3 linked regions of the Tamandua tetradactyla genome follow. The protein of the gene in region 1 purifies or fractionates together with the protein of each later gene. This does not show direct contact. Links are inferred from orthologs where the notes say so. Each region holds a gene or a part of one and is shown in the gene's direction. Other genes may lie near its edges. The genes, in order: SRPK3, FTSJ3 and CCDC86.

Evidence for each region.
Region 2: the proteins of SRPK3 (region 1) and FTSJ3 purify together in Homo sapiens (affinity purification with mass spectrometry; 3 studies listed by BioGRID and IntAct, with this or other methods). This does not show direct contact. The link is inferred for Tamandua tetradactyla from reciprocal best matches to the Homo sapiens genes SRPK3 and FTSJ3.
Region 3: the proteins of SRPK3 (region 1) and CCDC86 purify together in Homo sapiens (affinity purification with mass spectrometry; 3 studies listed by BioGRID and IntAct, with this or other methods). This does not show direct contact. The link is inferred for Tamandua tetradactyla from reciprocal best matches to the Homo sapiens genes SRPK3 and CCDC86.

Annotation. Positions count from the first base shown.
Region 1 is NC_135353.1:6,037,036-6,040,779, forward strand, and holds the start of SRPK3 (SRSF protein kinase 3), read left to right. Parts: upstream 1-932; 5' UTR 933-1,265; coding exon 1,266-1,306; intron 1,307-1,376; coding exon 1,377-1,507; intron 1,508-1,613; coding exon 1,614-1,722; intron 1,723-1,853; coding exon 1,854-1,941; intron 1,942-2,260; coding exon 2,261-2,348; intron 2,349-2,734; coding exon 2,735-2,841; intron 2,842-2,914; coding exon 2,915-3,080; intron 3,081-3,197; coding exon 3,198-3,223; intron 3,224-3,744. UniProt on the Homo sapiens protein: Serine/arginine-rich protein-specific kinase which specifically phosphorylates its substrates at serine residues located in regions rich in arginine/serine dipeptides, known as RS domains.
Region 2 is NC_135332.1:4,996,607-5,000,350, reverse strand, and holds the start of FTSJ3 (pre-rRNA 2'-O-ribose RNA methyltransferase FTSJ3), read left to right. Parts: upstream 1-1,134; 5' UTR 1,135-1,266; coding exon 1,267-1,333; intron 1,334-1,502; coding exon 1,503-1,608; intron 1,609-1,951; coding exon 1,952-1,998; intron 1,999-2,121; coding exon 2,122-2,201; intron 2,202-2,622; coding exon 2,623-2,722; intron 2,723-2,814; coding exon 2,815-3,009; intron 3,010-3,744. Other genes in the region: PSMC5 (26S proteasome regulatory subunit 8), read right to left, coding at 58-129, 691-720.
Region 3 is NC_135335.1:14,266,786-14,270,529, reverse strand, and holds the start of CCDC86 (coiled-coil domain-containing protein 86), read left to right. Parts: upstream 1-858; 5' UTR 859-990; coding exon 991-1,691; intron 1,692-3,744.

The DNA of each region.
Region 1 (3,744 bases):
TTTGTAGAAAAAGCCCAGTCCCTGCCTCCCCTCGACCACCCTCCACCACCCTAGCCTGGCTGGCTGGGAGTCCCTGCCACCCCACCTTGGCTATGACTGTGATGCCTGCTGCGCCTTGGCGCCTTTCTCCCCAGCCCCCAGCTCCCTCCACCCCTTCATTATTGTTTGCCCTGCCCCCTCCCAGGGCTTTCCTGGCACACGAAGGCAGGACCAAGTCTCTCCCATCTTGGGATAGCCACAGCCAATGCCTAAGCCCCCTCTGCTTCACGCTGACAGCCCCGACGGCCCCCTGAAACTGGCCTCCCATCTCCACTCTTGCCCCCCACTCCCACTTCCCCGAACAAGCAGCTAGAATAATCAGATGAGCAAGAGTGCCTGTTAGCCTGGAAAGTCCAGGTTCCAGGTGATATGACACCCCGGAAGGTAAGCCCCGGAGGCTTACCTTCCCTCCCCCCTGTGCTGGGACCCCATTCCTCTCGCCTGAAGTCCCCGGATGCCTGCATCACTGCCCCACTCGCAGGGCTGGGCAGTGCTCATGTGCTGGTGGCTGCCGCGAGGACGCGCCCCTGCAGGCAGGGTGGGGGACTCCGTGCTGCAGCTCCAGTGTGCACAGCTCACGGTGGCACTTTCCAGATGCCAATGGAGATGGTGAACCCCGCCGGGGTGGCAGGCCCTGGGCAAGGCTGCCCGTGGGCTCTCCTGGGGAGCTAGGAGGGAGAGCGCGTGGGGTGTCGGCGAGGCCCCAAGGCCTCCACCCGGCAGACCGGGCACCTCTGGTGGGAGGAGCGAGGTGCCCTCGGCTCATGCCCTTGCTGGTTCCTGAAGCATCCCCGCCCCACCCAACCCCCAGGGCTGCAGGTGGGGAAGGGAGGGTGCTGGGCCTCTGCCAATTTCAGGGGCCAACGAACGACAGAAAAAGCGGGAACCAGGTTGGGAGGGGACAAAAATGGGGTTCCGAGGGAAATGAGAAGGGTCGCCCCAGGAGCTTGGCTCCCTCCCCAGGGGGCCAAGTGGAAAGCCGGAGAACGTTCCACGAGTGACACTCGCGGGGGCTCGGCCTGGCCACCGGGTTGCTGCCGGGCGACAGCCTGGGGCCGGGGCGCTCCCGGGCCCTCCCCGCGCCCGCATACCTTGCCCACAGCCGAGCAGCTGGGAGGCTATTTATAAAGGCGGGTGAGATCAGCAGGCGAGCCTATAAATGCTCAGGCCACGGCCGGGCCCCAGAGGAGCAGCCGGCCCCGGGGGCGCCGGAGCTGTGGGCCGGGATGAGTGCCAAGGCGGGCGGCGACAGCGGCAGCAGTAGCAGGTAGGGCCGGGCCGGGCACCCCAGGGCCCTGGGCGCCTCTCCGACCTCACGCCCCCGCCGCCCCCCGCAGCTCGCAGACCTCGTGCGGGCCCGAGTCCTCGGGCTCCGAACTGGCCCTGGCGGCGCCGGGCCCGCAGATGCTGCAGGGGCTTCTGGGCTCCGACGACGAGGAGCAGGAAGACCCCAAGGACTACTGCAAGGGTGAGGCCGGGGAGGAGGAGGGAAGCCGGGAGGCCCGGCAGCGGGTGCGGGTGGCCGGGATGGGGGCCGAGGGGGCCCGCCGCCACCACCCGCCTCCCCTCGCCAGGCGGCTACTACCCGGTGAGGATTGGCGACCTGTTCAACGGGCGGTACCACGTGGTGCGCAAGCTGGGCTGGGGCCACTTCTCCACCGTCTGGCTCTGCTGGGACATCCAGTGAGTGGGCTGGGGGGCCGCCCTGCGCCCCCACCCGGCCACCATCCTGCGCCCCCTCGGGTGGGGCGGCCTCGGCGCACCCCGTTGGTCCAGCCGGGGCCAGCAGCCCGACGCGGGCCTTGGCGTTGCAGGCGCAAGCGGTTTGTGGCCCTGAAAGTGGTGAAGAGCGCCGGGCACTACACAGAGACAGCTGTGGATGAGATCAAGCTCCTGAAATGTGTGAGGCGCCTCCCCTCCCCGCTCACAGCCCCCCTGGAGCTGCCCGGGGCCTGGCAATGCGGGTCCAGGGCCTGCTGGGATCCGCGGGGCGGGGTGGGTCGGCTCCAGAAGGAGCAGGGCTCCAGCTGGCCGAGCCGGGGTGGGGGGGGGGGGGGGAAGGATTTGGAGAAGCAGGAGAGAGGCAAGAGATGGCCTGTCTCCCAGCCCGGCCCCGACGGAGTGGGAGAGGGGGCCAGAGGCAGGGTGGGCAGCACCGAGAGGTGCAGCTAACTGGCACTGAGGGGCTTGGAGCCATCATGGCCCTTGGCTTTTGCTCCAGGTCCGAGACAGCGACCCCAACGACCCCAAAAGAGAGACCATCGTCCAGCTTCTTGATGACTTCAGGATCTCGGGGGTTAATGGCGTCCGTATCCTTGTGGGGTGGCAAAGGGGCCCAGCATGTGCCCTCCTAGCTCCCCGGGCCTCGGTTGGCTGATCTGCACAATGGGACTTGCCCCTTCCAGAGCTGTTAGTCTTTGAAACAGCCCCCACCACTTTGGGGATTTGCTTACAGGGGTGGGGAGCAGTGTTGGGTCATGGGAGGTGCAAATGGCAGGGGCCGCCCCTGTGGCAGCAGCTTCCCTTCGGCCTAGGAGCAGAGCTACCCTCTCTCCAGGATGACCACCAGATGTGCCATCCCAAGGGGCAAAGCCCTGGGAGTGACAAGGGATGCTCTAGACAGTTGTCTCCCAGCCCGGGCCCCGCCAGACGCCCCCTCGCCCACAGCCCCATGCCCTTCACTCGCTGGCCCCAGATGTGTGCATGGTACTGGAGGTGCTGGGCCACCAGCTCCTCAAGTGGATCATCAAGTCCAACTACCAGGGCCTGCCCGTGCCCTGCGTGAAGAGTATTGTACGGCAGGTGAGTGCCGCCAGCCGCCAGCCACCTGCGCCACCTGGCCAGGCTGGGGGAGTTCAGGTATGGCTCTCCCCAGGTGCTGCACGGCCTGGACTACCTCCACACCAAGTGCAAGGTCATCCACACCGACATCAAGCCCGAGAACATCCTGCTGTGCGTGGGCGACACCTACATCCGGCGCCTGGCTGCCGAAGCCACGGCATGGCAGCAGTCGGGGGCCCCAGCGCCCTCTCGGTCCACAGGTACCAGGGGCTTTGCACAGGGGGGGAGGCAGGGGCCTCAGCCCCACCCTGACTCTGTTTCTCCGCCCCCCCTGCCCACCCACCTCCCGGCTGCTCTCCTGCCCCCCTCCTCCACAGTCAGCACTGCCCCCCAAGAGGTTTGGGTAAGTTGGGGCACCCCTCTTCTGTTGCTCTCTGTCTCCCCCATCTGAGCCAGCTGGAGAACCCCTCACTCAGCCACATGGGTCCACCATCCCCCAATTTCCCTACCCTCTACTCCCCCGACCCCAGGCTGAGTGGCCTGGGTGCAGGGGCTACCGGGGCTGCTTTCCCCTGCCCAGCTGCCCTCCGTGGGCAGAGAGGAGTCGCTCAGGAGAGGAGTCGGTGCCCTCCCTTGGAGCTCCCGACAGGACAGGGCCACTCCCGTGGGAGGACAAGCTCCACTGGTGCTGGGCTGCGTGGGAGGGGGCGGGAGCACGGAGGGAGCTGGAGCTGGCGAGGGAAGCGGGCACCTGGGAGACGCGTTTGGGCTTTCCCTGCTGGGGGGTTGTGAGGAGCAGCGGGGCTTCCGGGGGGGGGGCGTGAGGGTGCGGATGGGAAGGAGAAAGGTTGGGGCTGGCCCCAGGGCTGGGCAGGTGTCCACGGGATCCCCAGGGGCCGTGGCCTTCTCCATTGTGCAGGGCAG
Region 2 (3,744 bases), on another chromosome or scaffold:
AGAAATGGGTTTCAAGCAATCATTCCCCTCCCAACTCCCTGTGGAATCCGTCCTCACCTGAAGTTCTTCAATCTTGGACAGATAATATTGGCGGAGTCCACTGCCTGCCTTCCCCTCTTCCAGCTCCATCTGAAGACACCATAATTATTAAACAACAACAGGCTAAGCATCCAAATGATTAAAAACCACAAGGCATAAATAACAGGCAGCTTTATGCGGTAAAAAAGAGCTTGGACACTGGAGCATAAGATTTGGATTCTAATCCCTTCTGAACCCCTCTGCAACCCCCCACCCCATTTTCACATGACTAAAATAAAATGAAAGCAGGAGGCTCAAGAAACGGTATACATTGAAAGCTTTGTAAAGCGTCGATCGCCATACAAACCCGAGGTGTTACAAGCGGAGAGGGCAGGAAGGACGGGTGCTCTGTCCCCAACCTACTTGCAACTCGCGGCTGGTCCCGATGCACTCCCATCACTCCTCTCACTTATTCCCACCGAGTCTTCCTCTCATGGCCCTGCCCTCATTCACCGGGGGCGGCGCTGACATAGCAGAATCGGTCCCAGGCAAGGCCCAGTCTGTATTGGCCCACCTGTTCACCCTAACCATCTTGCCCCGGCCTGATACCCATCTCGGTTCACGCCCGCTCTCCACCCAGCCTGGGTTTCTGACCCGCCGACATCAACATACCTGCTCTGGCCCATCAAGCGCCATTTTCATTCTTCAGAGGAGGCCGCGGGCATAGGAATCTTGGTGCGCAAGCGCACAAGCAGCGGCTTGGACAAGACCGAGGGCTGGTACAAAGAAGAGTTCCGGGTCAATGGGCGGGGTGTGCAGAAGGGTAACAGGGGCCGGGATGCTATAATTTCTCGAGTCGGGAGTTTTGGAAGGAGACAAGGATGGGACAGACCTCCCAAATGTTGTTTTCTAGAAGCTCCGTTTTTAGTTCACCCTCCTGGTCCTAACTTTCAATTTATAAAACTTGTGGACCGTGTATAGAACAAAGTTATGGCCACTCTCAAAATGGTGGAAAACTTGGAACCGGGGACGTAAGGGGCACAAGCGGAAGCGGAAGTACGTTTGCGGCTCGCGGTTCCTAAATGTGGCGGAAACGACGCAAGATCCTGGTGAGTGAGGTGGAGCAGCATGCGGCGTGTGATTGTTTGAGAAAGTAAGGCACCGAAAGTGTAATATATTGCTTGGGAGGAGACGTTCCCAACTTGTCGCACTTTCTCTCCAGATTGAGTGACACTCGAGTATCTCACCATGGGCAAGAAGGGCAAAGTTGGGAAGAGTCGGCGGGATAAGTTCTATCACTTGGCGAAGGAGACCGGTGAGTCAGAGTTCGCGCTGCAGTTAGCGAACATACAATCTTGGGTCTTTCCGCTCCCCTTTCCCGAATATTAGATTCCTCTTCCGCTGACGGTCGTGTGTCGTGAGGCTGCGGAGAAATATCTCATAAAACCCTGCATAGACTTCATTGTTTTGTCGCCGCTTCTCAGGTTATCGCTCCCGCTCTGCTTTCAAGCTAATCCAACTCAATCGCCGCTTCCAGTTCCTCCAGAAAGCTCGAGCCTTGCTGGACCTGTGTGCCGCGCCAGGAGGATGGTGCGTATAACACCCTTCACGGGTCGCGCTTGATAGTGTTTTTCGGGTTTTTAGTCCTGGGTGGTTTAGATTGGGAGTTGCGTTGGGGGAGGGATGAATTTGGGATGCTTCCTGCATTCTTCTCTCTATATACAATAATCCCAGCCTCAAACTTCTTATCTCTGAGCATAGATTTCTCCTAAACATTGGTGGTCTTTTTTTTTTTTTTTTTTTTTTGATTGCAGAGAAGAGGCTGGGAATGTGTACCTTTGACAGACTCTGGCCACTGCACTTGATAAGGGCTCCCTCCACTAGCGGTGACAGATCACATTGGGTATTTAAAAATGCTGTTTCTCTTTTATAGGCTGCAGGTGGCTTCCAAGTTTATGCCTGTGTCCAGCCTTATTGTGGGTGAGTGACAGGTGGCTCTCTTGGGTGTTTTAAGGGGTGGGAATGTGAGATATTATCTCTGTACTCTTCCTTCCTCCCTTTTCGGGGCAGCCCTTTGGAATACTTTGACCTGATTTCTTCCAGGTGTGGACCTGGTTCCAATCAAGCCTCTCCCCAGTGTGGTGACACTCCAGGAGGACATCACAACAGAACGCTGTCGACAGGTAATAAGAATCCCTCTCTTCTTGTTCCTTTATATGTAGACATCCGTGTTACTTCCTCTTCTCACTCAAATCCACTGAAGCAAGATTTTTCTGGATATTGTGCCCTGAGCAGTGGCACCGTGATGTGATGTTTCTAGTGTCTATTCTGTCCTCTGTTTGGGAGTAGGGAATGAGGTCTTTGGGACCTGAGGACAGGACAGAGATCTTCAGTGAAGTTCTTTCTGGTGAACTCCACTATTGGACTTTAAGCTCCATGAAGTCAGGAACATTATTTTTGTTCACCATGGTCTACCCCGCACCTAGAACAAGATTTGGCTCATGGCAGGCATTCAACAAATGAGTAGGGAGATGACTGACCCAGGGACTCCATTCCTAGGGACTCCTTTGTTTCTGCTGCCATAATCGTTTTACTTCTCTGTAGGCCCTGAGGAAAGAGCTAAAGACCTGGAAGGTGGATGTTGTGCTCAATGATGGGGCACCCAATGTTGGGGCTAGTTGGGTCCATGATGCTTACTCACAAGGTACCTGGGGAGGGAGAGATGAGGGTGAGGGCGGAGGTGGGCATGTCCTCTCAGGCTACAGAAGTCCCGAACTGACTGTCTTTATCCCACAGCCCATTTGACACTCATGGCTCTGCGTTTGGCTTGTGATTTTCTGGCCCGTGGTGGCTGCTTCATCACAAAGGTTTTCCGCTCTCGTGACTATCAGCCCCTACTATGGATTTTCCAACAGCTGTTTCGCCGTGTCCAGGCCACCAAGCCTCAAGCCTCTCGCCATGAATCTGCAGAGATCTTTGTGTTTTGCCAGGGTAGGCACCACTTTCTTCTTTGCCTTGATTCAGTCTCTCAACTACCAAAGCATACTCTTTTTCTTAATTTAAAATTTTTTTATTTTGAAATGTTTTCAAACTTACACAACAGTTATAAAAATAATACAAACCCATGGGGGAACCTTCAACATATTCCTATCCCCCAAGTTACTCAGATCCATAGAATAGGTGAACTATGTTCCTGTACCCCTCCATCCCCCCACCTTTATGTAGTTGTCATTACAAATTATGCACATAACTCATTATGAGTCCCAAACCACTGATTTCTCATACATTTGCCTTTTAGATCCTATAGGAAGTTAAAAATGGAGTTAGAAGCACGAAATACAATCATAGTGATATTTATATTTACCCTTGTCATTTTCCTTACCAGAGAATATTTATTTATTCTTGTGGTTTTGATCTATTGTCTTCTGTCCTTTCCTTTCAATCTGCAGACCTCTCTTTAGCATCTCTTGTCAGGTTGGTCTGATGGTACTAAACTCCTTCAGCTTTTGTTTATCTGGAAATGTCTTAATCTTTCATTTCTGGTAGACAGTTTTGTTAGATATGGGATTCTTAGTTGGCAGTTTTTTTGCTTTCAGACCTTTAAAATGTTATTCTGTTACTTTCTTGCCTTCATGGTTTCTGATGAGAAATACACATTCAGTCTCATTGAGGCTCCCTTGTATGTGACTTGTTGCTCTTCTCTTGTGGTTTTCAGAATTCTCTCAT
Region 3 (3,744 bases), on another chromosome or scaffold:
TGAGGATAAGGCTGGCAAATAGCTGGGAGACAGGTGGGATACCTCAAGATGTGCTTAAGAAAGAAGACTGCAAGGAGTGAAACAAAGCTCCCACCTGGGTCTCATGCAAAGGGGCACAGAGAAAAGTCTCCTCTAGGCAAAGCCTGTTCTCCGGTGAGGGTCCCAATGAGTTTTGTGAACAAAGTACATCTGTAGGTGATTATAGGAAAGCAAGCAAGACCCTGGCAAAGGGAGGAGGAGGTTCACACACAGGGGCAAAAACCACCATCCCAGGTGAAACTGAGCTTGGAGATGATCCAGCCCATGTTTCTCAAACTGGGGGCAGGAGAAGGGATCCCCAAAAGCACGCAGTGTGGGTGAGGACCCATTGTCTGCCAAAGGACAAAGGTGGCGCATCTCACGGAGCCTCAATTTCACCCATAAATGTTGACAGCGCTGAAATGGAGAGCTATAGATTTTATACATAAGCACGTGTTTGAATATATAACAAATAACTCAAGACAAGGCATTTTCCATTCCCAGACTCCCCAGGTAGTATTCGTTCTGGCACTTAGGAGGACTCGGGCAGGCTCGTTCTAGATGCACTAAGCTAGTGCAACAGCAGCCATAGTACAAATGAGAAAACTAAGGCCCGAAGAGGGCAGGATCCTTGCCCAACTAGAGGAAGTGAGTTAGCCACCAAATTTCCTCTCTGGACCTTTGTCGACCCGTTTCTCTCCCGAAAACGGGTCTCTGGCCCTTCGCCCTGTCTGGATGCTCTCCAGGAAAGGATCGCAAAGCCTACTGCGCATGCGTCCGAGAAGCCCAGCCCAGCCCCTCCTCCCCAGGCCGTCAACCCCGCCTCTCCGCCCCTCACCAATATGGCTTCCCCCGCGACAGGTACTCCGCCCGCGGGTACTGACGGGACGGCTCTGACGTCATAGGAGGGCGCCGGTTGTCCCAGAAGCGACGGCGTCTGCACGTGTGCTCGGACTTGGAAACTTTTAGGCAATGGATACGCCGCTGAGGCGCAGCCGGCGGCTGGAAGGCCTAAAGCCTGAAGCCCCCGAGAGCGCTCCTTCGGTTTTACGGGCGCGACGGGCTCTTCTGGCATTCGAGCCGCACCCAGAGGAAACAAGGGAGTCCGGGTCTCCTCCGAGTGGGCGGCCCCCGGGCCTGGCCTCCCCCGGATGTCAGCCGGAGACCAGCCCCGGGTCGCCCAGTCTCCGGCAGAGTGCAGGCCTGGGGTCTCCCCGAAGGCAGCCAGAGGAGGATCCGGGTTCCTCCCGGCGTCTGCTAACAACAAATGGGGAGTCATCAAGGTTCTCCCAGGGCCAGAGAGAAGCGGACCCGGAGTTAGCCCAGAGTAAGGAAGAGTCAGCCCCGGGGTCTCCCCGACATCGGCTGCAGCCGGGCCCAGGATCACCAGAGCCTTACCCGGGTCAGCCAGCGCCAAGTCCGGAGCCGTCGCAGCCACTCCAGGAGCTGACACCTCAATCACCCGACTTCCCCTGTGATCACCACCAATCTAGCAAACCACTCCCGTTAGGGAACACCGTGACAGGCGACCTCGGGGCAGAGAAGCCAGGAGGTTCTTCAGCCCACGCTCCAGCATCCAAGAAACTGAAAAAGGAGGAGAAGGAGATGGTTCCGATGATTCCGAAGGGGAAGCCGAAGTCCGGGCGGGTGTGGAAGGATCTCTCGAAGAAGAGGTGAGATAACATAGGCAGGAGTGGGGTCCTGTCTAGTATTGGGGTCCCGCCCTCGTGCAGCCTGAACTTAGGAGGAAGTGATAGCCGCAGTGTTGAAGAGAGCTCACAGTGGTGGGGTGTTGCACAAACAGGTGATGACAATCAGAATGTGGTCAAGTGGGCTGGGATGCCCGGGAGGGGGAGACCATGCCCTCAAAGGTCGCTTCCTTCTTAGGGGCCCTGTGGACCTCTCCCATAGCACCTCATTTCTGAGTCCATTCAATAGATATTTACCATTGTCTGCCCCACCCCCACTCCACCCCCAAAAGGGAGGCAGAAGCAAGTAAACCATTAATTTATAAAAGCATTTAGGTCTTCACCCACTGTTATCTATTACATTTATTTGTCTTTATGATAAAAATGAGTCTCCAGCATGGGTGATGTAAGACACTGTGCAGGAATTGAGTAGGGGGAGAGTCTTGCAGAGGGGAGTGCCATGCATTATAGTGTTTAATCTGCACATCAGTCCTATGATGCTAGTATTTTCTTTCCTGTTTTACATGTAAGGAGATCGAAACCCAGGGAGGCTAAATGAGTGGAAGAGGCAAAACCAGGGCAACAGATCTGATACCGAAGTCGATGTATGAAATCTCTTTTCCCATACCCAGTGGATCTATCTTAACTTAGATTTCAACCTTCTTAAGGTCAGGCATGAGGTCTTCTATGTCTTTCTGTGCCATGGGTCTGGTAAGGGCTCAATAAACTCTTGTTGAATGAAGCAGTAAGGAGACGTATCTGAAGGAAGAAGAGTTTATCTACTAAGAAGGAGAGGTGGGATTCAGTGCCCATTTTAGCTCATGGAAACCACGCACAGGACAATCAGGGATGCATAGCCATGAGAGATTGCAGGGAAGGAGGGTGCTTTTAACAACATTTACTGAAGACTGAGCTTTGTGCAAGGCTCTGTGCAGACATCACTGTGTTGAACTCTCCCAATCTTAAACAGTAGGTATTATTTTCCCCCATTAAACAGAGGAGAGACTGAGGCTCAGAGAGTCATTTGCTGCCAGTCACCAATTGGACAGATTTGGAAGCTCTAGTGGCTTGAAGGGGGAGGAGCAGTTGGTGGCGCTGCCACTGCGCCTTGCTCCAGCCTTCCAAGCATGTCACAGGGAGAATGGTGGGCCACCAATGACTATATACAACCAGGCTAGGAGGTTGGTTCAGGCAGGAGAAGGTGAGGAAGTTTGAGTGTGGGAGCCTGGGGGCCTAGTACTCAGGCTGCAGGCACAGCAAGGAGGTCTAGCAGAGAAAATGAGCTCACTGAGTAAGAGGGGGCTGGGCATGTGTACAGATGGGGAGAAGAGGGGTACCAGCAGAGAAAACCAAGGAGCAGCAGCCAGAACTGGGAATGAAGACTCAGATCGCTGGACCAAGAGGCAGTAGAAGGGGAGAGTATTGTCTCAGCTCCCCCACCCCAAATGAAAACCCCTTCTGACTTGCTCAGAGCATGCACACCCGACTCCTTAATGAGTCTGAGCCCCATAAACCCACGCTCTTCTCTTCTACCATCGCTCGATCCTTCCGCACTGACCCCTCCACCCCTGTGTCCCTCCAGTAGCCTGTGCTCAGGTCCATCACTCATGCTGTGCCTTCTCCTTGAAAGGCTCTTGCCCTGGCCAGTCTTGCTCATCTTTCAAGTCTCAGTTTAAATGTCAGCCCCTCAGAAAATCCCTCTTTGTCCAATCTAAGTTTTCAAGTCCCATGCTATACATTGTCACTGTACCAGTTACTTCCTTTTTATAACATCCCCATTTTCACAAACGCTTGTTTACTTGTGTAATTCTTCTTGGCTGCCCATCTTCCCCTCTTGACCAGAGGCTCCATGACTACAGACTTATCTGTCATGGTCAGACCCCCAGAGCCTAGCTCATGGTAGCATTTGGTTGAACAAATAGAGGGCAGAAGGTAATTGACCCATTCAACCCACTATATTGTGCTGATGTAGGATCTGGGACAAACACAGCTGTAACCAAAGCAACACCTCTTCTCTCCTGGGGTGTTTATTCTATTG